Drosophila melanogaster: one gene and its partners. The protein of the gene in region 1 purifies or fractionates together with the protein of each later gene. This does not show direct contact. Each region holds a gene or a part of one and is shown on either strand. Other genes may lie near its edges. The genes, in order: dah, Rhp, CG32536 and DppIII.

The links.
Region 2: the proteins of dah (region 1) and Rhp purify together in Drosophila melanogaster (affinity purification with mass spectrometry, with the first as the bait; one large-scale study listed by BioGRID). This does not show direct contact.
Region 3: the proteins of dah (region 1) and CG32536 purify together in Drosophila melanogaster (affinity purification with mass spectrometry, with the first as the bait; one large-scale study listed by BioGRID). This does not show direct contact.
Region 4: the proteins of dah (region 1) and DppIII purify together in Drosophila melanogaster (affinity purification with mass spectrometry, with the first as the bait; one large-scale study listed by BioGRID). This does not show direct contact.

Annotation. Positions count from the first base shown.
Region 1 is NC_004354.4:15,325,556-15,332,837, reverse strand, and holds dah (discontinuous actin hexagon), read right to left. Parts: upstream 4,497-7,282; 5' UTR 4,395-4,496; coding exon 4,166-4,394; intron 4,103-4,165; coding exon 3,886-4,102; intron 3,829-3,885; coding exon 2,971-3,828; intron 2,907-2,970; coding exon 2,789-2,906; intron 2,727-2,788; coding exon 2,567-2,726; intron 2,505-2,566; coding exon 2,137-2,504; 3' UTR 1,836-2,136; downstream 1-1,835. Other genes in the region: CG9114 (uncharacterized protein), read left to right, coding at 1-1,294, 1,351-1,811; Top1 (topoisomerase 1), read right to left, coding at 6,920-7,022, 7,100-7,251.
Region 2 is NC_004354.4:15,786,627-15,795,620, forward strand, and holds Rhp (rhophilin), read left to right. Parts: upstream 1-2,270; 5' UTR 2,271-2,486; intron 2,487-3,620; 5' UTR 3,621-3,663; coding exon 3,664-3,762; intron 3,763-4,116; coding exon 4,117-4,233; intron 4,234-4,352; coding exon 4,353-4,480; intron 4,481-4,616; coding exon 4,617-4,770; intron 4,771-4,835; coding exon 4,836-5,276; intron 5,277-5,361; coding exon 5,362-5,518; intron 5,519-5,583; coding exon 5,584-5,831; intron 5,832-5,891; coding exon 5,892-6,021; intron 6,022-6,085; coding exon 6,086-6,411; intron 6,412-6,465; coding exon 6,466-6,618; intron 6,619-6,682; coding exon 6,683-6,886; 3' UTR 6,887-7,006; downstream 7,007-8,994. Other genes in the region: mRpS30 (mitochondrial ribosomal protein S30), read left to right, coding at 1-3, 168-1,383; sordd1 (suppression of retinal degeneration disease 1 upon overexpression 1), read right to left, coding at 7,475-7,575, 7,641-7,807, 7,871-8,436.
Region 3 is NC_004354.4:19,273,313-19,279,501, forward strand, and holds CG32536 (uncharacterized protein), read right to left. Parts: upstream 3,587-6,189; 5' UTR 3,513-3,586; coding exon 3,165-3,512; exon of another isoform or gene 2,906-3,164; intron 2,217-2,905; coding exon 2,088-2,216; intron 2,028-2,087; coding exon 1,845-2,027; 3' UTR 1,692-1,844; downstream 1-1,691. Other genes in the region: CG32537 (uncharacterized protein), read right to left, coding at 473-1,516; CG8028 (uncharacterized protein), read right to left, coding at 3,991-4,252, 4,332-4,452, 4,521-4,665, 5,662-6,189.
Region 4 is NT_033777.3:8,341,152-8,348,654, forward strand, and holds DppIII (dipeptidyl aminopeptidase III), read left to right. Parts: upstream 1-3,248; 5' UTR 3,249-3,332; intron 3,333-3,657; 5' UTR 3,658-3,714; coding exon 3,715-3,872; intron 3,873-3,941; coding exon 3,942-4,248; intron 4,249-4,307; coding exon 4,308-6,203; 3' UTR 6,204-6,314; downstream 6,315-7,503. Other genes in the region: Arl2 (ADP ribosylation factor-like 2), read left to right, coding at 28-92, 152-506, 565-699; PNKP (polynucleotide kinase 3'-phosphatase), read right to left, coding at 720-2,291; COX7AL (cytochrome c oxidase subunit 7A-like), read left to right, coding at 2,622-2,648, 2,704-2,997; CG7352 (uncharacterized protein), read left to right, coding at 6,613-7,473. UniProt on the Drosophila melanogaster protein: Degrades neuropeptide proctolin (RYLPT) by cleavage between Tyr and Leu residues.

The DNA of each region.
Region 1 (7,282 bases):
ACATTGGTTTTAGCGAGAAACCTAAAGTTCTACGAATTCCGGCGCAAGGATCTGGTGCACTACATCGATTTGAAGGTCACGAAACTAAAGCAAATAGCCACCCAACTGGAGGCCTACGACGGACCGGTTTGTCCCTTTCTGTCCAAGCAGGAACCCACTGACGAAAAGGTGGACTGGAGCATGCTGGATCCGCCGGAGGATTTGCCCCTCAAATTTGGAAAGTTTGTGTGGCAACGGGAGGGCATCTACCTGTTAATTCAGTGCTGGAAGCATCTCGTCGTCCTAAAGAGGCCCAAGGATCACGGGGCCAACTTCGAACTGGTGGCGGATCACAAGGATGTGGTGGACTACCAGATGGTCGAAGGTCCCATTTCCTTCCAGGCCGTTGTGGAACTGGAGTTCGGCAATGGCAAGCGTCAGCGTTGTGATTTCCAGGAGGATTTCTTAAATGAGGAGCCCAGCACGTCCAAAAATGCGGGCTTGCCCGCGAAGGATTTCGAGAACCTGCTGCAGGAGGTGCACCGCGCCCAAGCCGAGCTCGACAGCCAGCGAATGCAAAACCAGAAGGAATTAGCCCACGTCCAAGACCTTCTATACTTCGGCACGCCGGGCCAGCGTTCGCTGCTCCTTGAGGAGAAGCAGCCGCTCCGACGACTCGGCGATGTATGGACTCGGATCTGCGGCGATTATTTTGTTTGTGGCACTCTGCTAGTCAACATAACTGGCACCAATCGCCTCACCATAGTCAAGGAGTTGTATCCGATTGTTGTAATCGAACCACACACCGACTTTAGCGTGGAGCACCGCCTGTACGAGCTGCCTCTGCAGGCGGATGGCCAACCACCCGAGGACTACGACCAGCTGGCGCAGTTTTGGGCCTGCCAGGATCAGCATAGCAGGCGTCTCAAATGGCGACCGGTGGAGAAGGAAAGAATACTACCGCCGGAACGATCTGCCGCGATGGTAGTGAGCCTGCGTCTGGTCGATCTTCTTGAGGCAGAGAAACTCATATTGATGGCAACGTACGAGATGGGCGAGGATGCATCCCCTAGGCAAATCCATCTCATTACCTTCGATGTGAAGAAACTGCTCGATAAAACAGAATCGTTGGCACCCACATTTTCGCCCGCCACGCTGCACCAAGACTTTTTGGCCGTTATTATGACGCACACGGCACGTTGCTCCCTGAAATTGGAGTTCCAGTCGGCCCAGGATTGCACGACATTCGAGCAGCTACTCGTCTCCACGCTGCAGTTTCAGTTGATCCAAGCCCAGGAAGCAAACAAGGAGCCGAGTGAGTAGCTTTGTCAAGACCACTTGTTGTCCCTTTTAACTCATAATCCCTTACAGCTTCCGACTTGCTGGACGACAGTGAGCCTGGGTCTCACTTTCAGTCTTCCAACATCGCCGCCGATCCTGTCCAGCGTATTTTCTACAATCGCCAGCCGCAGTCACAGTGGTGTGACACCTTGCTGCTTCGCGACGATCCCGGAAAGCATTGGCATGTGTACGCCAGAACGGACGATCGATTGCGTCTGCTACTGCATCGCCTGACGCGCGATCTCCTCCAGCTGCACTGCAACCTCAATGTGCTAGAGGTCGCTGAGCACAACATGTCGCCTGCCGACATGGAGATGGAGTTGCTAAACAGTCTGTTCGAGGAGATGGACGCCTGGAAGGTTTTGAGTGAGCCGGCAGCCAGTGTGGAGCAGCGCCGGGAGCAGCTGACGCAGCTCCACAAGGCACAAATGGCCAGCGATGTGTTGGCTTCTATGCTATTCACCGATGATGATGATGACAATGGGGCGTAAATGCGTTTTTTTTTTCTTCTCTTTGCATTGGAAAATCTACAAAGTTGATATTTTGTATGTAAATGCTTTGTTAACAATGTGTTTTTTGCATTGTATATTTTTATAAAAACATTTTGTTGTATTGCATTCTTGTCAGAGTTGTAAGTTTACAAATTAAAGCATTTACGCGAATGTTAAAGCACATGGGAAAAGGAAGAAGGATATAATAAATGCATGACTCGGTTGTGTCATTTTGTCACGATTACTTTAGAACAACTTTACAACTTAAAGCTAAGTGGACTTGGTCTGGCTGGAATCGATGGGAGTTGGTATCCGATCCGGATCCTCACGTGCTGATGCGCCGCTGCTGCTCCTCGCTCTTGATGATGCTATCGAGAACGTTCTCCAGATTTTGCGTGGCCGCCGACAGTTCGGCATTATCGCTGTACGAGTCCTCGACGATCTCCTTGACCTTGTGCAGCAGCAGCTTAAAGTTCACCATCTCGGTGTCGCGGCCATCTCCGCCGTTTGCCGGCTGCTGTTCCAGTAGAGCACCCAGCGGCATGGGCAGCGGCAGAGGAGCCGGCAGGGAACCAGGTCCTTGTCCTGGCTGGACACTCGAGCGACGCTGGTCGAACCACAAGCTTATGTCGTTGAGCGAGTAATCCGATTTGTTTGCCTCCAGATAGCTGCGATTCAAGTCGGCGCCATTTACTACAAGAAACGATTAACTTAGTGGAGCTGTCTCATGGCTCTGTTGAAGGTTCTCTTCTTACTGGAGTGCGTGAGATTGGCACCCACGGGCGCATACATGTCGAATAGCATCTGTCGCTGAGGCGTGCTGGAGCTAAGGAACGTGGAGCTGACTAGGGGCGCAGCTGAAGGCGCCACTTGGGCAGCTGGCGCAGGTGGCGGCGAAGTTACCGCTGAGGCATGCTGCAAGTGTATATAAATGGAGTTAGCTCAGCTTAAATGGGCCGAATGTTTGGAAAACTCACTGATAGCTGTCGCATATCCTCGATAATCTGCAGCAGAAAGCACTGATGGGCGCTCAGAAACTGCGATATTTCCGAACTAGATGCGGTGGCCACTGTTTGCAGCTGGGTTTCCAGCTTCCTGAAATGCAAGAGAACCTTAAGGCTTGGCTAACAAGTGTGGCGAAAGAAGGGAAAACACCCACGCATTTTGCAAAAGCAATCGATCGATGATGGACTGCAGCCTGCTGGACGCCTCGCTGGCTAGACCCGTCAGGGAGCAGAGCTCCTGCTGCTGTTGCTGCAGGACAACTGTGCGGTCCTTCTCCTGGCACTGACTGCGCACACTGCGCGTCTCTGCGGGAATGGGCGTGGCAGCGGATTGACCCAAGGCGGGCCCACTCTCCTGCGCATTACAGAAGCCGCGACGCTCCTCCTCCTGTGTTTTGCGCGGCATCACCAGCCAGCCGCACAGCCTGGCCAGGTGGCGGGTCCAACGCAATGGCGGCTGATCCTCCACGAAGACCTCGCACATCCGATGACCCGGCTCGTGGCGACCACCAGCGAAGCCCACTGCAAAGCAGGGCAGGCACAACGATATATCCCTACACACCTGACACCGGAAACGTATGCCCACAATGTGCTCCTTGCGGCAGCCGGCACAAGAATTACTGTGAATCAAATGCTCGGTGTCCTCGATGCGTTTCACCAGTGCCAGCAGATTGCCATAGATCAGGAATCTCGTCTGGACACCCGCTCCCGTCCAGAGTTTGTGGAACTGCGGCTCGGTCAGTCCACCAACGCCATGCGGACAGCGGGCAAAGCACTGCTCCATAGCCAACGGAAGATTGTGGACGCCATAGGCCTTGGCCTCGCCCAAATAGCTGAGTAACTTGCTCAGCGTGGCTAGGAGCTGTTCGAATGCATATCTGGAGATGATCTGCGACTTGGGATCGGCCAGCAGGCCAAAGATGTCGCCCACCAGGTGATCGCTGCTATATAGCTTGCACAGCAGTATGAAGGTGATCCTGATCTCTAACAGGGATATGGAGTGTCTGCGTTGCCTAGCGAAACCAATCAAATATCAGACATATTCTTAAGATGCCAGAAACTCAACCCACGGATCGTAGACATTCCAGAAGAAGTTGGCCAACAGCCCGGTTGCCCTGTCCAGTTTATAGTTCGCATCCTGGTTGAAATGGCCTAGTTTCTCGCAGGCAAAGTATACATCGTGCAGCAGGGAGGTCAACTGGAATGGAGGAACCATCAGTTCCAGGCCACCACTCAAGTTATGGCGATCCAAAATGGCCAAAACCAGCTTGTAGGGGATTTTTCCAGCTGCAATTTGAAGGTTAATCCTTGGGGACTCCTTCGAATGGACCACCTACGCGACTGACTCACTGTGAAATATCTTTTGCAGCGCCACAAATTTACTGGCGCACCGGTATACCGTGTACTTGTAATTCCCGTAATCCCGCTGCAAGTCATCCATGATGGTGGATAGCTCTTTGTCCACCTGTTGCTTTTGTCCTTGGCCACCTTGGGATCCCTTTTCGCGGGCAATGGACGCCACGGCCTCGGCGCTATTTCGCAGTTTTGTCAGCTGCACGGGCACCGACGATCTCAGCATTTTGTCAGGCGTTTATTGTTATATATTTCCCTTGATTCTCGAATTAATTTCAGTCTCTTTTAAACGCGTCGTTTCTCGCGATCTCTTCCTCTTCCGTTAGCGCAAAAGTCAAATTGTGTGGCGTGAGGTGGCAACGCCGCGCGTGTTATCGATATCACTTCGCCGAACCGTTAGCGCTTTAAATTTGATTCAAAATTATTATTATCATTAATTAAGTCATCCGTTCGTTCTAAGAATATTTGACCATGATATAATAATTGGTAAATAAGTTTGAGCAACGGGAAATGTAAACTGAACAACTTGGGTTCACCATAGTATTTTCCCAATTTCAAAAACAAAACAAAGTTATTTAAAAACCCTTCTTTTGAATGCGAATAATTACCCAAAACGAGGAAATGGAAAGAGTGTCACATAGATTTTAAAATTAAATATATATTTTATGTATATTTGCATCATTCCATTGCAATTACATTCACTTATGCTATTTTGTTTTTCATTTACTTTGCTTTCGATTTAAAATAGTGGGTTTCTTATCATTTCGCTTGTTGTTTTTTGTTTGCTTATATCAATATTATAATATGCCAAGTTTATATGTGAGTGTTGTGGCGGGGCGGGGCGGGGCTGGGCGTTCGAAGAAGGGTTCGTAATTAGTTTATTTAACTTTTTTTTTTGCCTTTTAAAAGCATTCTCCCGCTTCCGTATGCGAATCCACGACAAACGCACACAGATGTTTGCGTTCACATTATATCAATCACTAATTATAATATGTGTTTGGGCGTGTGTGTGTGTGTGTTTATATGTATGTATATAAAGATCGTTCGCTCTTCATTTGCAATGCGCGTTTGCCATTTATGCTAGGGGGGGCGTGAGGCGAGATATAAATTTCCATCGATTTGCTTAGTTAAAAGTACGGCCATAATCGTAGCTGATGGGATTGGGGCACATGGATGTTGGGGATGTTCCTAACTCCACCTGAATCCACTGCTCTCGTCGACTGAAGGATTCAAGTGAAGGCTCGATTTTTACAAGGTTTAAGGTATAGTTTTAGCTCACTTAATTGCACATACTTCTATAGATTCTATATGTATAAAGTTCCTTTCTTTCAGATTAAAGTTCTTTCTTTCGCTGCGACTGGTTTGCTGGCTGTGTTTCTGTTTTGGTTCATCGAGTTATTTGAATTGCTCGTTTGATTTGTATCTGCAATTGGTTTTCAGTGTGATGGCGGCTTGGTTTGCGGTTGAGAACTTGAAACCTGTCTGCTTAGAGTATAGAAAGTTAAGGGTCTGTCTGCAAATCAATTTAGCATTTGTATATTTCGAAATGTTAACTAAAATGATCATAAGGTACGAAATCAAAGCGAAACCACATCGAGATCCATCCAATGTGGCTTTGTTCTTCATTTTCGGGGGCGGTCGGTCGACAAATAGCGCTGCTTCAGAGTTGAATTGAATAAATTATGCTATGCTAAAAGTTGGGCTACAAGGTTTCTCTGTTCAGTTTGCACTTATACAAATTATTATTATTATTATGATAGATAGAATAGTTTACAAAACTAGACTAACTTAGATAGTATAGCATTAGCTACGGGGCTTACAGCTATATTTATTTACAATGTTATTATATCTTAATTTAGTTAATATCTAATTTGGTAACTAATTGCTGGCTTGTTATGTACAAATGCCTGTTTTTGTTTTTGTTTTTTGTTTTCGCTAAACAAAATCAACTATAGGTAAACATAAAAAAAATTGCGTTTTAAATTGTATAATTTTCGTTTGCTTTTGCTATTAAATATATATATATATATATAGATATATATATACATCTATATTTTTATATATATATATATATCTATATATATATATTTATGTAAATGTATGTATTATATTAAAAATAAAAATATATACACAAATATTATTATATACATAAATATAAATATATATATGTATATATGTTTTATATGTAAAATTATGAAGTATAAGGGTATCTTGACAAAAAAGTTCTTTTGTAGAGACATAGAAAATTATGCTCCTGATTTGTTTTTAGGTGGCGGCGACGTCTTGCCCAGGTTTCACATCTCCTCTTGCCTTTAATGAATAAAACTGACATATATTGGATTAGCTTGTGTTTGGGTGTGCACATTTCGCAAGTTAGACTTCGGCGTAGTATGCACTTGATCCCATTAATCCCATTCAAAGCAGACAAAACGGACGCGTACAAGCGGTTCCACGACTACGATGTAGTGCAGCATTCCGTCCCGCTCATTTTGGCTAACAATCCCCCATTGCGTTGGCCGAAAGCTGGACATATGCACTATCAATTGCATAAACTGTGGACCAAACAATGGCGGGATTGGCATGGAATCTATTTATAAACCGGCCTTGTGGTGGGTGTGGTTTGTTGTTACATCTTCTTCGATCGGGTGCGAGTGTGTGTTTGTGTGTGTGTCTGAAGGGGTGGTGGTGGGTGGAGGAAGGGTCGGCGTACTTGTGTGTTTGTGTCTAGGCGTGGCTGTGAGGAGAACCCATTTAGAAACGATAATTCTCATCGGCCATATGAACGGCCCACAGAAATTTGGTTCTTTGCGTTTTGTTGAATATCTTCTCAATCGGCACGTCATGCTTTTTACACCTGCAAATGGATGATATATATATATATATTAGTTCTCGTTGAGTGGAATGTGCTGCTTGAAGGGAGAGACCACTCACCAAGCCACCGATATGCGTGGATCAAGATAGTTTAGCTTAGATGTGCCCAGGGCAATGGTCTTATTCTCGTCTCTATCAGTCTCTTGTAGTTCTAGTTTCTTCAGCTGATCCCTTAGGCGCTCCAGCTGTTTGCCCTTCTTCTCGTCTCTCGACTGCATTGGTTTATAACAATTAAACATACTG
Region 2 (8,994 bases), 460 kb from region 1:
CAAGTGGGTACAACGAGGTCCGCTTTCAACGAACCAAGTTCTCCGGCGAGTTTGTGGACAGTAGTTGGTCCAACTCACTTAAGAACTCGGATTGGTTGGAGTGGTCCCAGTTACAAGTTCGACCGTCTGATATTAATGTATTCATTCTCCTCCATTACCAAGCGTAGGCATCTGGAAAAGCAACACAACTCTGCCGAATCGAACCCCGTTGAACGTGAGCGCATCCTAACGCAGATCATTGTAGAACAGCTGAACAGAGCTCTGCTGCAGTCGCTCAGCGAGGAGTACAAGCACCTGGATGAGCTCGATGTCGACTACAATCCACGCCACGAAGCGTTCTGGGCCGTTGGCGGCGTAGATCCTCCCAAGAACGTGCAGAAATCGAAGAAGGGCCGGGAATGGCAAAAGGATATGGCAAACGAGAGCGTTGATCGGATGGTTCAGTATACGGGAGCGCCGTATCTTGCCCTACGCCATCGCAAGCAATTGACGCCGTGGAAAACGGAAGCGGAAAGCGAAAACCTCGAGCTGAGCAAACAGCTGCCCCGTTTCAAGCACGACCCGCGAACCCTCGGCTACAGCACCAAGCATCAGCACGCCACCAATGTGCCAGGCTATTGGCCCAAAGGAAATGAGAATAACTTCGGCCTGCTCTCATTTCAATCGCGTGCACACCTGCAGATCCGTCCGAAATCGTTCGGCGAGCAGGATCAGCTGGAGGCATTGCATTCGCTGGCGATTAAATCGTCATACGCCTGGCTTTTGGCCCAGGCGAACTACAATGGCTTCAACACCTACAACGAACTGACCTATCCCATGAACACTCAAACTGTGATCACGAACGGCAGGGAATGGAGCTTTTATGAGTATCAGCTTAATACGCTGCTGCTGCACGGCACAAACGTGGCGGAAAATCCCCGTGTCAACTTCTGTCGCGGTACAAAGCCACTTCCACTGTACGCCGAGATTTCGGCAAGCGGCAAGTGCGTTGATTTCAACGATAACGCACTGCGGCACCTGCTCAATTTCTATGCCAATGCGCCATCGATTCAGCGGAGCATTGGGGAGCAGCAGCCGTATGTTGCCTCCGACGTTTCCGCCTATGAGAACGCCGAACAGCGTGACTTTATCAATAAGACCTTCAAATATTTGGCATCAAACCGACCGCGACACTTGGAGCTGCCCGAAATCTACCTGTGGGAGAAGCTATACAAGATCGATAACAACAATCGTGCCATGGAGGCTAAGAGACGCTTCTTCGAGCTGGACATCAATCCTTGGCAGCGAACGCTGGACACACATGACAAGGAGTATGTTCCACGTGCGGTCCGACCAGACGTCCCTAAGAATAAGAACAGGTTCAAGAAGACGTACTACCCTTAAATGAATAAATATAAAACACTTCCTAAGGTTACACTTGTTAAAAATGCTGAATTTTTAATGTGAAATACTGGATTGCAGATTCGGAGCAACGAAACGGTGTACAAAGTTTCTTTAAACTTTGATTAACTCAATTTTCCGCAAACTTTTGTCAGTATGTTAATGATTTTTAATATAAATATTTTGTTAAATTTCAATTTAAATTCTATGCCATACAAAGTATATATATTTATTAACTTTGTTATGCTTGTGGTTAAACACTTCTGTAAATTTATAAGCTAGTCTTTTTTATCTTAAATTCTTTCAAATAGATATGATTATACAAATACCTGGAATTTTGCCAATTATTAGTGCTGATGATGCTAAAACTTGCCAATGCAATGCTTCTTATCATTATTTAATTGTTTATGCAGCACATATTTATTCTAGATTCCATTGTTTATTTCATTTATCAGCACTGCAAACATACCGAAGTTATCTCAAAAAGTGGGTAAAATGCGGTTACACTGCACCAGAACCATATTTTTCGAACGTAAAAAAGGTTTATAATGCTATAGTGTAGTTTAAATCTTTTTACCAAATCATATATTGTTTGAACATAATAGTGCACTAAGGTTTATATGATATTCCATATAAGTACACTTCAAACTCTTACTTAGTCTGGTAATATGTATGCATTAATTAATTACTTGATTATTTTATTATCCCATTTATTATAGTAGTTTTACATTTACGATAATAGCTTTATAGTCCACTACATCAAAGTTAGGATTGCTGAAAAAGTTACCACTTGTTGGTTATTTCGGTAACGTCCCAGCTAACCGTATGGTATGTTATAACGGCCGTGCGACGGTCACACTGGATCTGAATAGTTAGGCTCGAGTAAATAACCAGTTTGAGACTTTACGGTGGTTCGGAAACTCGTATCTGGCGCTTCGGTTGTCCAAAAAGGTAGAGCAGTAACCTGTTGCATATATATTTCTTTTTTTTTTGGTAATAGTGGAAAGTGTAGTGCAGACAAGTCGAACCCAACTGATATTGAGTCGAAATTCCGTTGGGCAAGTGCTGAAAAATCTTGAATATTGATCGTGGAGTATGTGGATACGGTGAGCATTTGTGGGCAAACAAGTGTATTTCTCGGTTATTTGCTTCTTTTTTTGTCGAGTCCATCGAGCTTATAAAGTTGTAAGGCGTGTAAATATGTGTATAATAATTATGCCATAACATACCAGTAGTACAAAAGTATGCTACTGATGATGTGGAACAAGCACGGATTATCATAAATATATGCCATGGACTCTCTGGAATGCCAGTGTAAAATAGTGAAACCAGTGGCCAACCACATATTTGTCTACATCTATATCTATGTCTATGTGTATATATATATATATATATCCATATCTATGTCTATTCCTCCCCCTCCGATCGCGAGCAATCCGATAAAACACTGTATTTATGCTTTGCATTCTGCGATCTCATGAATACGTGAAATCAACATCGAAATCTCCAGCCAACCGACGTGCTTGCATGTGTGTATAGTTTAGTTGAAACAAAAAGAGAATTAACGACAAAACAACCGAATGGCAGTTAATTCCTATTGTTTTCGAGCGGCCTGTCCCAGAAATACAGTTCGATCACAAGCGTCATATCTCGGTGTCCCAGAATTCCAGTTCTTGGCACACACTTTTTATAGATATGAACTGACTTTTATGATCTTGACATGTTTAAGTCTTCGTTTATGCTCAAACCCTTTAATATTCGGACACTTTGTAAGTCTCTAATGTTCTATTAAATAATGCCATTGCAATCCAATGTGTTTATTCACGATATCTCAAGTTGAGTTTGCCCTGGAGCAGTGCCATGACGGTTATAATATGTTGATGTTTGGCGCTGCTTAAATGGCTCGCTCGAATCGAAAACCGTTAAGGCGATTGATGAGTTTGACCTCCTAAAGCTAAAAAAGAAGAAGAAATGCGGTTCTATCTTTAGCTACTCATGTTGTGCATACATACGAAAAACGAGCAGCTCGTGTTATAATAGTTAGTTACACCATTCATAACGCGACAACAAGTGCTGCATGGATTTTCATGATCTTGGTCTTGTCTTGAAGGTCGGAAGTCTATTATAGAACTCTCTATATGCGGTGTGGTGAATAGTTCGGTGGGGGGGGGGGGAGGTTGTATTGTTATTATTTCATCATTTACCCACAAATTGAAAAGTAATCCAGTGTTTATTGGCAGTCCTTTTGGATCATAATCATTTCGGATTTCGGATCTTTGAACCATGGATGAAAAGGAACACGAATTGTCGACGAGGGTGGTGAAAAACGAGGAGAACGAGGATGACGAGAAGCTCAATGAGTTATCCTTTTGTTTTGTTCGGGTAAGTGTAGAATAGCAATCTTATTTATTTATGTTTTTGCGCACTTAGCGATTCGAAAAATGTCAAGTGGTATTATTCATGTATATTGTAAAAGTATTATTATTTTCCATTGCAATTGTTATCACCTAAAACGCCATAAATGATTGTATCACCCAAAAGCTTTGTTATGGAATATTTGATTTTGAACACTGAGTCATAACTTTAAGGGATCGCTATCATGGCTAATGACGTTCAGGAATCCGCCAAATATCTCCACAATATAGATTTAAATTCGTATCTATATATATATATATTTATATATATATATATATATTTAGATACAATCGATATAATCATATAGCATCCTGTTTCCAGGGTTCAGATCCACGAGCTGCCACTTGTCGTAGCAAACTCCAAAACAGGCGATGCAAATTAAACAAAGAAATAAATAAGGAACTCCGCCTTCGAGCTGGTGCCGAGAATCTATATAAGGTGCGTTACCTTACCTTCCGTTATCACTCTGAACATACATATGTATGTCCATGCCAAAACTAAATGCATATCTTTATGTATATATATATATATATATATATATATATATATATATTTAGGCCACATCGAATCGCAAACTGCGCGACACAGTTGCCTTGGAATTAAGCTTTGTCAACTCAAATCTGCAACTGCTGAAGGAGCAACTGGCCGAGTTGAATTCGTCGGTGGAAATCTATCAGAGCGAAAGGTGAGCTAATAAGCCCGCTCCTAGGATAAGAAACTGGGTGGGAAGACCCACCACAAGGTCTAACTTTCAAGGAAGCAGGCAGTTACAAGGCATTCCTTTGATGGTATTATAATAATAATCCTCTAATACTCTCTAGTCACAATGGAATTATGCCCATGATACCGCTGGGCCTGAAGGAAACCAAGGAGATCAATTTCATGGAACCCTTCTCCGACTTCATCCTGGAACACTACAGCGAGGAGCCCTCGATGTACATAGATGCCATAGCTGATATGACGGACACGAGACAGGTAATGCCTCGTACATATATAAGAATTTTATGCACATATAATCCAATGCGAAAAATTTCTAATAGGCATCCAAAACACCGTCACGAGATGCCCTGGGAGTGGCCCTACTTTTCCGCTACTACAACACGCTGTATTACGTGGAGCGTCGCTTCTTTCCGCCGGATCGTAACCTGGGCGTGTACTTCGAGTGGTACGACTCGCTCACGGGAGTTCCCTCGTGCCAGCGGACCATCGCGTTCGAGAAAGCCTGCACCCTGTTCAATCTGGGCGGCATATATACACAGATCGGCGCTCGACACGATCGCACGACGGAACGGGGTCTTGACTTGGCCGTGGATAGTTTTTTACGGGCCGCCGGGGTCTTTCGTCACATCTACGATACGTTCACGAATGCACCATCGATGGACCTGAAGCCACAGGTCCTGGACGTGCTCGTTTCCCTGATGCTTTCCCAGGCACGAGAATGCCTCTTTGAGAAGCTTCAGCTGCAGATCGAGGCGATGAGCGTGAGTTTCCGTCAGCATATATAGTATATAGTATATAGTATATAGTATGTAGTTACATAATTTTACCATCTATATAACCATACAGCACGATTGCCAGGCGTTTCGGGATCTGGCTGGCGAGGCTGCTCAAATATCGCACGAGTACAATGAGATGCACAAGAATATCCAGGCGAACGATACGCACACCTATCTTCCGGAATGCTGGGCCGGTCTAGTGCCAGTCAAGGCGGAACTCTACAAAGGTAGAATTGGTTATCACCTCGAAATGGGAATATTCATTCTAAAGTATGATTGTAAACGCCAACAGCATTCGCACATTTCTACAAGGCACGGAGCATAGATGCGACAGACGAGCTGAAGGCATCAAAGTCAAGTCAAAAGAACCAAGAATCCTTCATCGGCAATTCCCAGGAGGTGGAGCGCATCACCACAGCCGATTATGGAGCCAGCGATGAGGCGTCCACCTCCATTGCCAACAAACTGGCCCACTTAAAGGAGGCGCTGGCCAGTATCGAGGAAGCCCAGCGATTGCAGCGGATGTGTCGGTTCTTGAAGGTAAATATACTTCTTATATCCTATAGCCTAATAACCTAACCTTTAACTTTAATCTTTAAGAACAAGGCATCACTGACTGAAGTCATGAAGGAGGTGCACTCCAAATCGCAGGAGGAGCTCGAGAAGTTCAGACTGCAAGCTTCAGCCAAAAATATCGAAGATGGCGATCTTCTAGAGCGATCGGTAGAAGGTACATATATCATACTCAAGATAAGCCGATGTCTTCATGTACATACATGCATCCATATCCTCAGCATCTTCGAAGTTCACGTTATCCCTGACCGGACCCGACTTCACATCGCACAAGGTTAAGGATCCCTTCAAGCGCCTCGGCCCGATTGCAATATTCTCGGCGAGACGCCACTGGACAGCGCCCAGATGTGTGCGTCTCCAGAAAGGTTCCTCCCTGTATCACAGCGTGCCCAGCAATGACAACAAGTGCCCATTGGATAACGATGATGACGAGGAGCACGATGGTGGATACAATCTGTACAAGGAGGAGTTTGAGAACTTTGGCTTCCATGTGCGCGGCGATGCTCCGGTGATCATTGCCCACGTTGAGATTAATTCTTTGGCAGACGTAAGTAAATGCTACTTCCATCGATTCGTCGTATACTGTAGGCATTATTTTCAGCTTGGCGGCATCAAGGAGGGAGACTTCATAGTCGAGATAGCCGGCGTGGACGTGAAGTGGTACTCCCATCAGCAGGTGGTGCAGCTCATACAATCCTGCGGCTCTACACTCGAGCTGAGAGTGATAACGCCCATGGATCGCAACTACTTGAAGGTGCATTTTGTTTATTAATCATACGTAAAAAATCAGCAAACAAATTCACCTTGTTTACGCACAGCCATTGTCGTCGAAGGGCTCATTATCAACGCTATCGGCGGCCAGTTCATCGGGCATTTCATCCGGATTTCCCAGTCCCACAAGTATTGCGGCCAAGCCCAAGCTCCACCTGAAAACATCCTCTAGTTCGCGACCCGCTGGCAGCGTTTCATCCAGTTCGTGGAATCCGTTTCGGCGAACGCCTAGCTTAGCTAAAATATTTTAAGTAGCCATCAGTTTTATTTTGTGTTTTATTTTTTTGCTCTTAAGGCAATGGCCATTTCAAGTTAAAAAGAATGTTGTGCAGTTTAAGTTAAGCAATAAACTTAATGATTTTTTAAAAGCCCCTCTATTATACCCATAATTTATTTTATTCCTATTGATTCAATCGCTCCCAATCACCCATCGATAATAATCTACACGGAAAATGAATTGAAATAAATGTTTTTAATGTTTTATCGAATTTAAAATATATATTTATACAATTTTTGACATCTACATTTGAATTAAATCATTACGATCCAATGATTTCGAAATTTCAGTTTTTTATGCTGGAGTCGTAGGGTATCGCGGACTTTTTGAAATAGTTTGGGATCCAATCCACTTCTGTTTTGCGAATCCTCAAATTACAATTATAACCGAATGCTAACAATTTATGTTAATTAATCACACCAACGACTATTGCCCAACGAGTTTAAGAATATTGTTGATTTAACTGGAGGATACTGCTATATGATTACTTCGCACGCTTTCCATACACATTTGAACATAGGTTCTTCTTATCGGGGTGATGTCTTTATGCGTTCGCAGATTGCTATGCATAGAACAGCCACAATATCCACACAACGGCCAAATACGAAAACAGCTTGGACAGGGTCTGTTCATCCTCGTATTGCCTTGTTCCCCGATTAGCAGCTAAATACATGGGCAAATGTTATTTAATATCAATCTCAGAACTATTGAGATGGCATGTAACCTACCAGGTGGACGTGGTTCGCCAAAGTTGAGCGTAGATGTTATGAACCCGAAAGGAAAAGCTCCAATACCGAAAGACATGTGAAATCCGTCGCCGAATCCGAATCCAGGGAACCCGGGAACAGGATCTGGTTCTGTACGTTGTCCAGCGGGGCGTGGTGGAACTTTGTTACTGCAAAACACATATAAGTTGGGTTATTGAAAAATACTCATGTTGAAAGCGGTTCAAACCTACCGTGGATCTTCCTGGTGTGTACTATTTCTTCCGTACAGCGGTATGACCTTATCCTTATCAACGGCAGCCTTACAAACGGGACAGAGTTTGCGATTGGGACGCGTCAGGAGCCACTGATGCAGGCACGGCCAGCAGAACAGATGGCCGCACATGCTGACCACAGCATCCTTGGCGGTGTCCAGGCATATGTTGCACTCGTAGAGTGAGTCGTCTGCGGTATGTTCCTTCTCCTTGTCCTTTTCGTTGGCTTTTGTGTCCGTATCGGTGCCGCCGAATGGATAGCCACCCTTCAGATCGGCCTTATTGCCACCAGATAGATAGTCTCCAGTAAAGGAATACGAAGTGTTGGACTTCTTCAGTTCCGATGCCGTCGAATTGGTTGGAATCGAGGTACCCAGCGGGCGCAATTGACTTGTAGATGACTCCTCAGCCAAGGGTTCTGTGATATCCCGAGTCCAGGCTATCTTGTCGTAGCTCACGTTGTTGGACAAAGTCGATGAGGACGACGATGCCCCGGTTGATGTGCTGGGAAGCTCCGCTGTGGGTACACTTTTCGGTTCCTCCATGGTTTGCCCAAGATGCGGGTAAAGTTTTAGTCGTTCAAGCTGCAACGTAACGTTGGATGATTTAGAAACCCAAATTTGCTAAGTAAGTCTGTGTTCACCCTATTGACAAGTGCCTAGATTGCTTAGATGATTTTCCTAGGCCATTTCTGGTGTACAACTAAGGTCCGCACTTTCTTGAATATGACTTAATTTAATTAAATACTTCAAGCGCAGTTTGAAGGGGGTTTCCCCCGAGTTCCGCAGCATTCAGCATTTGTCCGACCCCATGGGGTGGTGTTTATGGCTACGAAAACCGCCCAAAGGGCGTATTTACCACCAAGTCTTCAAGGATAATGCACCGAACATTCCCATTGGCTGCACCCACATAAATTAAACAAAAAAGTCAAATTTTGTTTGAATTGCGTTGGCAAACAAGACGGTATACCTGCATATGTACCTGGACTTATGTGCGTACTTATGTACACATCTACACACTCAAACACTCGCGTGTATATAGGGCTAGAAGGTTTCCATCTACCTGTTACATATGTACATTGGAACCGATTATATGCTTATTTA
Region 3 (6,189 bases), 3.9 Mb from region 1:
AATTGAAATGAATTCATCGGGTCTCACTTGCTTGTTAGTTATTAACATTGAATCATGGTTTTATTTTGCATATATCCTTGTTGTTCATATGTCTTACAATTGTTCCATACTTTGCCATTGCCACAATTACACTTCATATCAAATTTTATAATGAATCTTGAGCTCCGGCTTAAAACAAACTCAAAAGCAAGCAAATATTTCGAAATGCCTATGCTAATAGTAGATGTGTATAAAAATCCACAAGAGTGCCTCATATTTCGGAACTTCACCTACTGATATTCGAAGATTTTTGGGATAAAAAACCTTTTTCTAGCTAATCGTGATCTTAATCTCTTCCAGCTGATTAGCCCACAAGTATGCAATGTGTTCTTACAGAATGATTTATTGTAACAAAAAAAAAAAATGTGTGTGGTAATCAATCTAAGCTAACGAGTGGGGTATACATTGAGTCATGCGAATGAAAACACGATTTTTATTGCACTTTAGCCGGTCCGCGCCGACGCGTAATCTTCACCAGCCGCCGGCGACGCTGGCGTGGCACTGGGAGCTCCGTTGTCCCGCCGGCCGGCTGCTCCGACCGCGGCCCCTGCTGATCCGTGCCCTGGGCATAGCTGTAGCTAATGGTGCGCTTGTAGATGCGCTGCTCCTGCTCCGACTGCTGCGACTGCTGGGAACGCGGCTTACGTTTGTGAACGGAGCTGGACGGATGACGGGTGGAGGAGGCCTTCGTCTTTCGGGTCTTGGCCTTGCGGGCCTGCACATCGTAGCAGCGTTCGATCTTCTGGCCCTTGCTGTCCTTGCACTCGTAGCAGACGCTGTTCTTCTGCTGGCGGCGCACGCACAGGCTGCTGGGCGCCACCGGCTCGGCCTGCTCCTGATCCGCCTTCTGTGCGGGATCGTCGCGGTAACGCTTGTACTGGCTGCCGCTGCCATAGGCGTACTGCTGCGGTTGGTCGTCGTGCGAGTAGCTGCACGTTTCGGACACCTCGTTGTTCTTCAACTGGCGACAGATCTCGCACAGCTGGCCATCCTTCCGTTTGACCTGCCGGCAGCGCTGATCCCTGACATTGGTGGCCTCCGCCTGGGTCTCCTCCTCCTCCTCCTCCACCAGGCCTTCGCCTTCGTCGTGGTCATCGTCGTCGGCAGCCCGATCGAAGTACTCCTTGACGAACTGCTCGTAGTTGCGCTCGTAGTTGTCCTCGCCGGAGTAGCCCTCGTGGCTGGTCTCCGCACTAAGGCTGTCCACATCGTCAACGGCCGCCGCCTCTGCATCCGTCTCAACATCCACGTCCACGTCCTCATCCACCTTGGCCTGCGCTTCGTTGGCTGGCAGGATGGGCTGCATCAACTGCGGCAGTTTGACCACCTTCGATTGGTCCACATCCGTGACGGTGAGAGCGTCCAGGCGCTGGAGCAGCTTGCCGGGCGCAAAGGCCTCCCAGTAGTTGACGCTTCGGTCGTAGCTGTCCGCCAGGGAGACGGCCAAGCCGAGTAGCAGCAGCTCCGGCAACAGCATCGCATAGAAATCTGCGACTTCCGTCGCCTGCCGTCGCTTTTATGGACTCGACACTCGGCCTGACTCGACTGCACGCCACTTCACTTCACTGCAGATGGAAGCGGGTCCAATGGAGCGCGTCCAAACCGCAGAGCCATCAGGAAGTGTGGCCCAACTGATCCGCGAGGAGGGAAGTGCGAGTGAAAGGCAAGATTTATTTCGTGTAGCCAATCAACTAAATCGAACAAAAGAAAGGGGAAACAGAATGCAGGTGGTCGGTTGTGGAATGGTCAGAGTGGGTGAGGCTGGTGAGGTTGGTGAGGTTGGCTAGGGGCTGGTGCAGCTACAACTACGCCGCTCGCTGTCCGGCGGTCAGTCGCTGAGCGCCCACAGTGGGCGGGGCCGGGCGGACGGGCGGCTGTCGCTGATGGCGCAACTCACGACGCTTCTCACGCAGAATGTGCTTGGTCTGGGAGGTGTCCAGCTCCTCCCAGCCGCCGGCATTATCATCCACCCAGTCCTCGAGATCGGCCTGCCGAGTAAGAAACATTAGTTCGTTTCATGCATTCCATTCGGGCTATAACTGGCTCACATTTACGCTAATTGGCACCAAGTCCTGGGCCTGCAGTCTTGAAAAGTCACTTTGTTGGCTGGTCGCCGCACTCGTGGATGGATCCTCCAGGTAGAACTTCATCTGCGGCTTGATGGTGGGCGTCAGCTCCTAAAAGAAGGTTACATTTTAGCCAAATCGTTGAGGATATGAAACACAGATATTATAAATACTTATATATTCTATATATAGTCATATAAAGAATATATGCATTGTGATTCACAATTTTTTTATTTGCTTGTTTTTACTTTTGTAGGTATTAACTAACTTATTTAGCTGGATGGTTCTTCATGTTTTTTATTTTTTACTTAAATCAATGCCTGTTGCGTAGAAATAATATGGAGTTTTTGTTCATAAAACAGATACCTCAATATGAACAATTAGCAAACTAAAAACGGCTGTTCATTAACAAATATTATTCAGCGTTGTAAGCACTCACTTTTTAGTTTACTATGCAAGTTTTCTATATTTTATAGCTTTAAAAATCATAGGATAAATATTTTGACATTTGCATTTGTCAAATCTGCAAGTATCTATTAACAAATAATGCGTTTAAGTACACTCTTTAAGTATTCCTGGTTCAAATGTTGTGGACTCATAAAATCATATTTTTGAAATTTCTAAAAAACTATTGAAATATTAACAAATTATCACAGTAATAAGCTAAATATTCATATTTTTTAAGTAAACCTTTTAAATATTCCACAAATATTTAGTTAAACACAACTAGAAATTAAGCGTAATTTGAAATAAATGGTTGTGAATAGTTTCGAAAATGATTTCTTTCTAGATTTTTATACCTGTCGTTTTCTATGGCTGCTAATCTTTATGACGTGATTATGGCCCACATACAAACTTGTGCAGTTGATAGGGTATAGGGTAAACACGCCGAAGTCACCTAGATACGTGTACAGGTGGGGATGTCGCCATTTAGCCCCAACATAGCCCACTATCCCACCATCAGCGAGCGTGAATATCCCTACAATTGGGCTACGACTATGGGCCGTGCAAGCGGCGCAATCTGCGTAATCCGCGCCCATTGCCTGAGTACCAACTCACACTGAAGAAGTCCGGTTCGGGTTCCTCCTTGGGCGGAGTGGGTGGCTGGGCCATTCGCTGGCGGTACTGCTCGATGTGCTCCTCCACGGTGCGCGGACTGTCGTCCCAGGAGTTCCAGTCCCGCTCGCGCGCCCCCGCTGTCCTGCCACCGCCGGCCTGGCCAGCGGAGGTGGCGCCGGTGGCGGAGAAGTCGCCTCGCTCCACGATCACGTTGACCGCTTGCAGTTGGTCGGCGGATCCGGTGGCGGAGCCGCTGTGGCTGAGCTTGCGGCGCCTGGAGAAGCAGCACAAGGCACGCCGGCACAGCGTGATGATGCCCAGCACCAGCATCTTGATTTGCTGCAGCATTGTCACCTGGTTAACTATCCTATTCTATATTATTTACTAAATTTCAGTTTCTTGGACCCCGTTAGTGTGACCGCCACGTGGACAGCGGCGAATACCAAATGGTTGTACTAAGCTACCGACTTCTCTATTTGTAAATACCGAAAACTGTGACATTACCGTTAAGTATTAAACAGTTTAACTGTGATTTTTGAATTTATGTTTTTTCCTTTTTTGAAAAATACTGTATCACATTCATTTTTCCAAGCTATTATATTAAATATTAAATATATATGTTTCATTATCAAATTTCCATTTTAAGAACAAGCTGTTTTTTTCTTTATCGCAAATGATACTTTTGACAATTTAATTTCCCATCTAAAAACATGTTTTGGTTTTATTTGCTTAATACTTCTCGTAATTGTACCTAAATTACCTCAATAATTCACGATATGTTTTGTTAAAAAAAAAGGAAGGGGGGGGGGGGGTGGTAGAGTTTTTTTTATTGGACCATTGCACTACGTCCCTGGTTATCAACATCCTCGTGATCAACGTTGTTGCGTTCGATTTTGTTACGCCTCCGAAACTTGACGATCAGCACTTCGAGGACCCAAGGAGCGGCGCACAGGATCATGAAGCCGTTTAGGATGTGAAAGACGAAAATGTAATCCCTGGTCTTGTCCCGAATAAACCCAACAATGGGACCGATGAGGAACATGGCATTGCCTTGGATGAACATGAAAAGGCCATAGCCAGTGGCGAACCTTAAACGAGATGGAAATATATGAGGAATATATATTATAATTTTGTGATAAATGCTATAAGCTTGCCAAAAGAACCCACCTTTCCTTGGGCAAGTAGTCGGCAAAGACCAGAGGCAGTGGAACGTGGAGCCAGGTGCGCAGAAATCCAATGACCGCCGTGATGCAGGCCATGCCCACAAACTGTGTGATTCCGTTGAAGGCTGTGGGAAAATGAGTGAGATTAGTGGGAGGAAGGGAGTTCTTGGAGCCCAAGGAAGGGTTCGCCTACCGAATCTCGCAAAGACGGTGAAAACGGCTCCGGCCAAATAAATGTATCTCGAAGGAACCTGGATGCACACGGCGGTGATGGCCAGGAAAATACGAGATGCCAAGTCTGCGGCCGCTCCAATGGCGATAATGGTGGCCGTGTCGGGCTGAAAAAAAACAATATTATTTATGGGATGTAGAAGTTACTGAAAGAACTGGAAATAACCTGGTAATCGCAATAATCAGACTGGGAAAACCACTTAGAAATCGTTTATATATTCTTACGGTAAGCTTATGTTATTTTTATGTTTTTCTTTTACAAGGTTTTTAATTTTTTTTTTTTAATCTGTAAAATACTGTTTCCGATTAGCCGTTTTTTAACGGCGAAAGCGGACAAAGTGAATTCGAATAATTCAAAATGGCGTCGCGTTCGTTTCTGCCTTTTTTTGTGAACGTTTTTTATTCTTTTAAGTTGCTTCTAAATCTCATATAACTTAATTTTTGTTATCGATTTCAGATTTATCAGTTGCTTATATGATCGCTCAAAGTGTTAAGTTTGGTGTGCGTTAAAAGTTAGTAATTATTATTGAAACTGCGTTTTCGCAAGTAAATTTTGGCATTTTGTGATACCTAAAAGAAATCTATTTGTATATAATTCACAAGAACAAAAATTCAATTAAATCAGCAACGGGTGTCGGGTTCCGCGACTATTAGATACCCCTTACTTTGCAAGATATGATTATATGCAAGCATCGTAGATATTGCTTGGCAAGTAGTAAACTGCTTGACAAGCAGCAAGTCGACTGCTTTAGAGATTGTTCAAGGTGACTTTAGATATACGATCTATACCACGTGATATAATTTCAATTCAGTTTGAACTGGTTTCTCAAAGAAATTTTGAATAAGGTTATCAAGATTAGGGATATGATTAGGGATACGAAAAGTAAAAAGTACATATGGAAAGATTGCGAAAATTTATGTTAATTACACATAAATATGGTGTCTATTCTACTTTGCTAACATATATGCATACAATTTTTATGTAATTTTTCAATCAACCCACCACATCTACATTTCTTTCAATAGAGCTAGCAAGTTTAGTGTAAACTACGGTAAGCCTACTGCTCCAGCCCTTAACTGTGGATATTGTGGTAATGACTCACCCTGCTGTATCCCAGCTCAAATAGGTAGACTGGCTGCATGGTGAAGAAGGTGATGTCGGAGTAGAGGGCAAAGGTGATGCCCAGCACGATGTTAACGAAAATGGGCTTCTTCAGCAGCGTGAGATCGAGGAAGTCGACGATGGTGCGCACCCAGCTCTTTTTGGTAGCGTGGGCTGGAGCTACTGCACCTGATGCACCGGCAATCGTGCTCGGACGCCGTGAGGTCTGCAGGCTGTGCATCATCTGGGGCGAGGCGTCACTGACCACCACGGGTCCGGACCAATTGCCCAGGCTGGTGATGCTCGAGGCCCGACTGGACAGAACCTTCAGCATTTGCTCCTCGGCGTGGGAGAGCTTTCGCGCTCCTGGATCAGCGGTATGAAAGTTGGGCTCCTCTCTGGTAGCCTTAAGCGGTGTTTCCGGCTGCACTCTAATCACCACCGTTGGGCTCAACTCCTTGAGTTCCTCCTGCTCCTCGGGCTGGATGGGCACGCGACGCATGTGCCACTCCACTGGGTGCATGACCAG
Region 4 (7,503 bases), on another chromosome or scaffold:
TAGCGTTACTAAAATACAGACGTTGTCATGGGCTTCCTCACAGTATTAAAAAAGATGCGACAGAAGGAAAGGGAAATGCGCATATTACTGCTGTGAGTTCCATGGAATTATAAAAAAATAAATAGTGATTCATGTATCGACTTTCTTATAGAGGTCTGGATAATGCCGGCAAGACGACAATCCTGAAGCGCTTTAATGGCGAACCCATAGACACCATCTCACCCACACTGGGATTCAATATTAAAACCTTGGAGCACAACGGCTACACCCTGAATATGTGGGATGTCGGTGGCCAGAAGTCTCTGCGATCCTACTGGAGAAACTACTTCGAGTCCACTGATGGTCTGGTCTGGGTGGTGGATAGCGCTGACAGGATGCGCCTAGAGTCCTGCGGCCAGGAGCTGCAAGTTCTGCTCCAGGAAGAGCGATTAGCTGGAGCCACACTCCTAGTTCTCTGCAACAAACAGGATCTACCGGGAGCCCTCTCATCCAACGAAATTAAAGAGGTTCACTCTCATTGATTTTTTATTGAAACAACACATTTAATATACTTTATATTTAAAGATACTACACCTAGAGGATATCACCACACATCATTGGCTGGTGGCCGGAGTTAGTGCAGTGACTGGCGAGAAACTGCTTAGCTCCATGGACTGGTTGATCGCCGATATAGCTAAGCGTATATTCACTTTGGATTAAATACAATTTATTTTACTTCCTTATTTCTCGACCAAGTACATTTTGTATAGCTTTTCCTGCTTTTCGTCCGCAAAATTGGGCTTAAAGTTCACCTTGTGTATGGATATAAATCCTTCGTCTAGGGCGGGTTCCTGGTACTTTTTCTTCATCATGTTAAATACCATGTCCTTGATCTTGGTGCGCGCGGAGTCTGATAGCTCTCGGAAAGCTATATTGTGCTTCACTTGGGCGACGGGCACATTCATCACAAGGCAGCGGCATGGAATCATCTTTTCGCTGGCCAACTGCAAGAATTTTTTTCGAGAAGCTGCATCCACATTGGTGTTATCCACCACACATGATTGGCCCGAGTCCAGGAACCGTTTACAGGCAGTCAGGCAGTTTTGAGTGCTACCCAATGTATCTGCATTGACGATTTTGTAGCCCCGCGGTTGAAAAAAGCTGGAACAAAAGTGGCTCTTTCCGGATCCTGGCAGACCCACCATGATGACCATTTCGCAGGGGTGGTCATCGAGGGTCAAGTCATCCGGATCAAGCAGAGATACTTGGTCCTGAACGCTAGTGGGTTCAAAGTCCGGCTTATTCCACTGCTCCACTTGTTTGCCCAGGAAATGAACCTCTGGAGTGTAGAATGAAATTCCCACGTTGGCTGCAAAAAGTCTGTCTACTAAAGAGTGATCTTTGCGCCGCTTGGTGGCTCCCTTGCCCGTCTCCGGTCTTCCGGCTGCATCGCCGACGAAGAAACATCGATCTTCCTGAATCTCAACGCCATCATTCATTTCACTCTTTAAGTGCTGCCACATTCCCGTCAAAGGTTTGCGATAAAATCCATCACCTATGGCTATAAATACTTGAATTGGAACTCCCAGTTTAGCCACAATATGCTTGATCTTGACCTTAAAGTCATCTAGGTTGATTTTTCCACGAGCAATGCCTCCTTGGTTGGTGAAGAGACAGATTTTAAACCCATCCTTGTGGAGATTCTTTAGTTTCTCCGGCACTTCGGGAAATATGATCTGCCAGTCGTCGGTGTTTTTGGGGAACACCAGTCCCGATTTTGTTTTTATAATGGTGCCGTCCATGTCGTAGCCAGCTATCTTTTCAGAACCTTTAACGCCGACGCTGGTAAAGATAACCAGCTTACCATTGCCAGATGAGTCCCACCTCTCGGATTTCTCTGACGGTGATAGTGTTGTGGACAACGGCTCAGCTTTCTCCTTGTCATACTCCGGTGGAGGGTTAAAGACGACCTCGAACTGATGCCTGCCGTAAACGATCTCCACCAAGTCTCCGTGCTTCAGCTCGCGTTCCCCGTTCTGCATAAGCATCAGACCATTGACGCCGCAGGGATTAACTCCCAGGACTTTAAGTGAAACTACAGCCTTTTTTAGGTCCACTTGCAGTTGAATCTGTCGCTTCGAGCACTTGGAATCTCGGATGCCGGTCTCCCGGCTGCGTCCCACGAAATTCTCCCCAGCGGTCAGGTGTATAGAATGGTGTTCCGGCTCAGTGGGTTTAAGGGTGCATATCCTGGCGGCCACATCCTTGCCAGCTTTTCCAACGGATCGGTTTAGGTATTTAGCCATAGACATTTTGGTTAATCAATAAATAAGAGCATTGCTTAATATTGACACCAAAATTCACTAGAGAGCGAATAGTGTGACCTAATTTGGCATTAAAAGAAGAAGAGTGGCACACAGACATATGTACTTTGAAATGAAAGTGGTTGTTTTTACCTATTTAAATTGAAAAATAAATTACTCCATATAAAAATCGGAGCCTAGGCTCTGTGTGAAACCCTTCCAGAAATCTTAAATCCATCAAAGATGGCTTATAGTAATAGTGTCACTTAAACATTATTCGATAGTTAAAGGCAGACAAAATTTTGTTCCGAATACTCCAGAAAGTTTCAGGAAACGTAAATGCAAAGAAACTGTTTCTCTTTGCGCGTAAGTTACCACCATTCCATACAAAACATTAATTTAATTCGTTCTTTCCGATCAGCCCTTCCTTCGGGGAGTCGGTGATGTGGGTGCAGTTTGTAAGCCCATTCGTGAATTTCGCAACTCGGCTGCTTTGAAATATGCTGCTGCTGCAGCTGCAGCTCCGAAGACACGTCCTGGAAAAGTTCCTCCAAAAATGGTCAAATTGAGGAAGCAATTTCAGGCGGACAATGATTTGCCGATTTTTCTAAAAGGCGGCAGTATGGATAACATATTATACAGACTCACCTGGGTGCTCTGCTTCCTCGGCATAGGTGGCGATGTATGGTTGTGGCTTGGCTATATCATTGCCTAAAATCAACAGAGATCATGCAAGCAAGCCCACAAAACACAAATACTCTGTACACGAATGCAAATACCAATTGTAACGACACATACATTAGTTAACTAGTAACGTTTCTGTACATAGGTAGTTCAAATACGGAAAATCAATTATATAATAATAATAATGTGCTTTACTTCAAAGTGTTCATTGGAGTTTTTAAATTATGCCGCCAATATTTTGCCATTCACATATCATATAACACATATGTGGTGTTATATCGACTCACAAAGCAGCTGGTCACACTGCTTGAACAACTTGCACTTTTGTCGGCATTTCTTAACTGCATATTTTCTCACTTTTTAAAGGTAAGTACGCACGAAATTACTTATTGATTATCTTTTCCACTTAAAACACGAATGCCCGGTGGGTTTTTGTTTGTTTTGCGATTGACTAACCACGTAGTTCTTAAACATTCACATTTTCCTTGGGCTCTGCCAGTTCTTCACGTTTTCGGGCTCCATTTTAGCCATAGTTTTGTTTTCTATATTCTTGTGGTAAAACGCCGCTTAACTGCCACATCTGCAGTTTAGCCGGCTTGCTGGAGATAAAATTGCATTATCAAGTTTTCATGTGTTCCCCGAGTTATTTGGCTTTTCATCCAAATTAAAGTAGCCTTTTCACATTTTCCAGTTGGGCGACAAGTAATGTAAAGTCTTCAAATAGAATACTCTCAAAAAATTCCCAGTAATGTTTTGGCTAAGAGGGCTACAGAGATCCCGGCAGCAACTGAACAGGCTGTGTCATTTCCGTAGTCGTCTAAATTACGGGACCAGTCCCAGTATTCGCTCAGTCCAACCGTCAATCTCCAGAAGTTTGGGATTTTGTAGCTCCCTCGTTCGTTACAGGTATTTGCCAGGTGTTATCTAAAGCCCATGTATATAATCGGTCCGGTTCGCCATATGATATCTTTGCAGCTGCAGCACCAACCTTCCCCAACCCGCTGAGATGGCCAGTAAAACCGCGCACTTCGTCCTGCCTAACACGCAGCCCATTGCCGATTTGGACTGCAAGAGTGCCTTCGAGAATCTCACCGAGAAGGAGAAGCTCTACGCCCACCACTTCAGCCAGGCCTCCTGGGACGGCGGACTCATTGCCTTGATCCAGTCCAGTCCGGAGGCGCCGCTCATCTTCTCCCTGCTGCACCGCATTTTCCTAGCCGAAAAGATTCCTGTTCTTAGGGCGAAAGCCCTGGAGGCGGGAGTGTCTGCTGATGATTTTACGGTATGGCAGAGGAGAGTTTCATATTCTCGAAAATAAATATTAATTTTGATCACTTTCAGGCCTTCCTAGTGTACGCCTGCGGTGTGTTCGCCAACGCGGGCAACTACAAGGGTATGGGCGACAGCAAGATCGTTCCCAATCTCTCAGAAAAGCAATTTGAGACTATAGTAAAGGCATCCGCTGCTTACAGCGATGAGCCGCGCGTAGGCAAGATCTTCGAGAAGGTCAAGAATCTGATTTATGCGCTCGAGTCGCGTAACGAGATCCTGGGCTTTGCTCCCGACGGAATCACCACCTACTGGTCGGATAACTGCACCAAGGAGGACTCCGAGATCGTGAACGCTTGGCTGACCTCAAAGCGTATCGAACCGTACATGTGCCGGACCTTCAAGATAGTTGAAAATGGTCAAACCGTCTACGATGTAAAGCTGGGCTCCGTGGCGGAGTCCACGCAGGACGGCATCACACTTCCGCTGGAAGAGTATAATGGCAACAAGTTTAGGGTGACACGCGGTGATTACCAGAAGCTGCTTCAGCGCGTCAACCAGCATCTGCTGCAGGCCCAGAAATACGCAGCCAATGAAAACGAGTCCAAGATGATCGAGCACTATGTCCGATCCTTTGAACAGGGCTCGCTGGACGAGCACAAGAACGGATCGCGTTGGTGGATCAAGGACAAGGGACCTGTCATCGAGACCTACATTGGTTTCATTGAGACATACAGGGATCCTGCTGGAGGTCGGGCTGAATTCGAGGGCTTCGTGGCCATGGTGAACAAGGAGAGCTCGGCCAAATTCTCCGAGCTGGTGAACCGCGCCGAGAAACTAATAGAGTACCTGCCCTGGACGGAGCCTTACGAGAAGGACTCTTACCTGAAGCCAGACTTCACATCCCTGGATGTCCTCACATTTGCCGGCAGCGGAGTACCAGCGGGCATCAATATTCCCAATTACGACGAAATCCGCCAGGATGAAGGCTTCAAGAACGTCTCGCTGGGCAATGTGCTGGCCAACATCAACCGCAAGGATCCCATTCCTTTCCTCACCGAGGAGGATCAAACTCTGATGAAAGAGTACAAGGTGAAGGCTTTTGAGGTGCAAGTGGGCCTCCATGAACTCCTAGGCCATGGTAGTGGCAAGCTATTCCGCATCGACGAAAATGGTGTGTACAACTTTGACAAGGAGAACACTAAGAACCTGGTCACCGGTGAACCCATCACCAAGTGGTATCTTCCTGGAGAAACTTACGACACCAAGTTCGGAGCAATTGGTTCCTCGTACGAGGAATGCCGCGCCGAGGCGGTGGGCTTGTATCTCTCCCTGCAGCGTGACATCCTGGAGATCTTTGGCTTCAAGGACAAAGCCGAGCAGGACAACATCATCTATGTCAACTGGCTGAGTCTCATCTGGAACGGCATGGGTGTGGCTCTGGAAATGTTCAACCCGAAGTCCAAGCTGTGGCTCCAGGCGCACTCTCGCGCTCGTTTCGTGATCATGAAGGTGCTGCTGGAGGCAGGCGAAGGACTCGTTAAGGTCGAGGAAACCGAAAAGGGTAAAAACCTTTTGCTGACGGTGGATCGCAGCAAGATCGATACCGTGGGCAGGAAGGCGCTGGGCGATTTCCTGACCAAGCTGCAGGTGTACAAATCCACCGCCGACATCGAGGCAGCTTCCAAGATGTACGAACACTACTCGAAGGTCGACGAGAGCGGATCGCATCCGTGGGCCAAGTGGCGGGATATCTGCCTGGCGCACAAGAAGCCGCGTATGATTCTCGTCCAGGCCAACACGGCGATCGGCCAGGACCAAAAGGTCCAGCTGAAGACCTACGAGCCCACCCACGAGGGGTACATCCAGTCATGGGTGGAGCGCTACCCCAACACTGACATCGACGATCTTCTGGAGAGCATCGTGGAGAAGGACAAGAAGTATTTCCCGACTGCCTTCAACAACTGAGAACATTTCGCATTTAACATTTTCGCCTTCATTATCAATTCAATTTGTTAACTATGATTTTGAAAAAAAATATATAAAAATATATATAGTCATCTAATGACCAACAATTTTAAATTTTAAATTGCTTTTATAGTAAAACTTTCGTAGTGAATGGTGATTTTAAGATCGTTTTTGCCATTCACCGAAAATATTGACAAAGGACCTGAATTTAATTGCTTGTATGTACATACATATATTGCGACCAAATGTATATTGCTCATAATAGCTCCACAATTAAGAATGTAAATATAAAATCAAATACTACAATTTGTTCATTGAATGTTTTCATAGTAGCCAGTCGATAAATATTGGTTTTTTTTTTTTTATTTTGTTTCTCGTTTCCATTTCTGTTTGCATTGTTTTGACCACCATGGCAACCGGTAGAAATCGTGGTAACCACAAGGAAGGTGGCACTATCAACATCGGACAGCCGCTATTCCAGGTGCCTCATTCATTGCGCAAGGAGCACGACTTTTTCAGCTCACAGCTGTTCCGAAAATTGCAGTACGACCTGGAGGAGGTGAGCCGCAGCCAGGAGCTTTCCAAAGTGAGTCCCATAACCCGCGACTTCATCGAGGAGGCAGCGATGACGCAGGAAATGCAAGATCTTAAGCGTGCGGAGTTTGTGGAGAGGAAACGTCGCCAGCAATTGCGGCGGGATTGCGAGGAACTGCGCGACTTGGCGGAGCAGCTGCGCCTAGCCGCCATTTCCAGGGATATAGCCGAGAATTTGGAGGAGAAAAAACGTCGTCGACAGCTAGACATCAAATTGGAAGCCGCGGAAGTGTCCCAAGAGCGCTGTCTGCTGGAGGTCAGGCAACGTGAGAAGGAAGTGGCTCTTAAGGAGGAACAACGCCGCCTTAGGGAGTCCTTGGCTGAACAAATGGAGGAGAACCGCCGACGGCGCCTGCAAGAGCACGCTCAGGTGATGAATGACCGGGAGCTGAGCCTTCTGATGCAGAAGCAAATCCAGGAAGAGGATCGAGCCCAGGAGCTGGAGGCGCAGAGAAAAAAACTACAAAAGCGACAGGACATGCTGCGGTCCATCAAGGAGAACCAGGAACTCAGAGAATGGCAGCGAGCTCAATACAACCAGGAGTTGAGTGACTTAGTCCAGAAGCAAAGTGACATGGAGCGCAGGAAACTCCAGCTGGAGGCTGAACGCCAGGAGATTCAACGCAAAAAACAAGAAATCAGCATTCGTTTGGGCCAGCAAGTCCTAGAAATCGAAGTAAGTCTTGAAGCGGTTTTTCGATTCAAT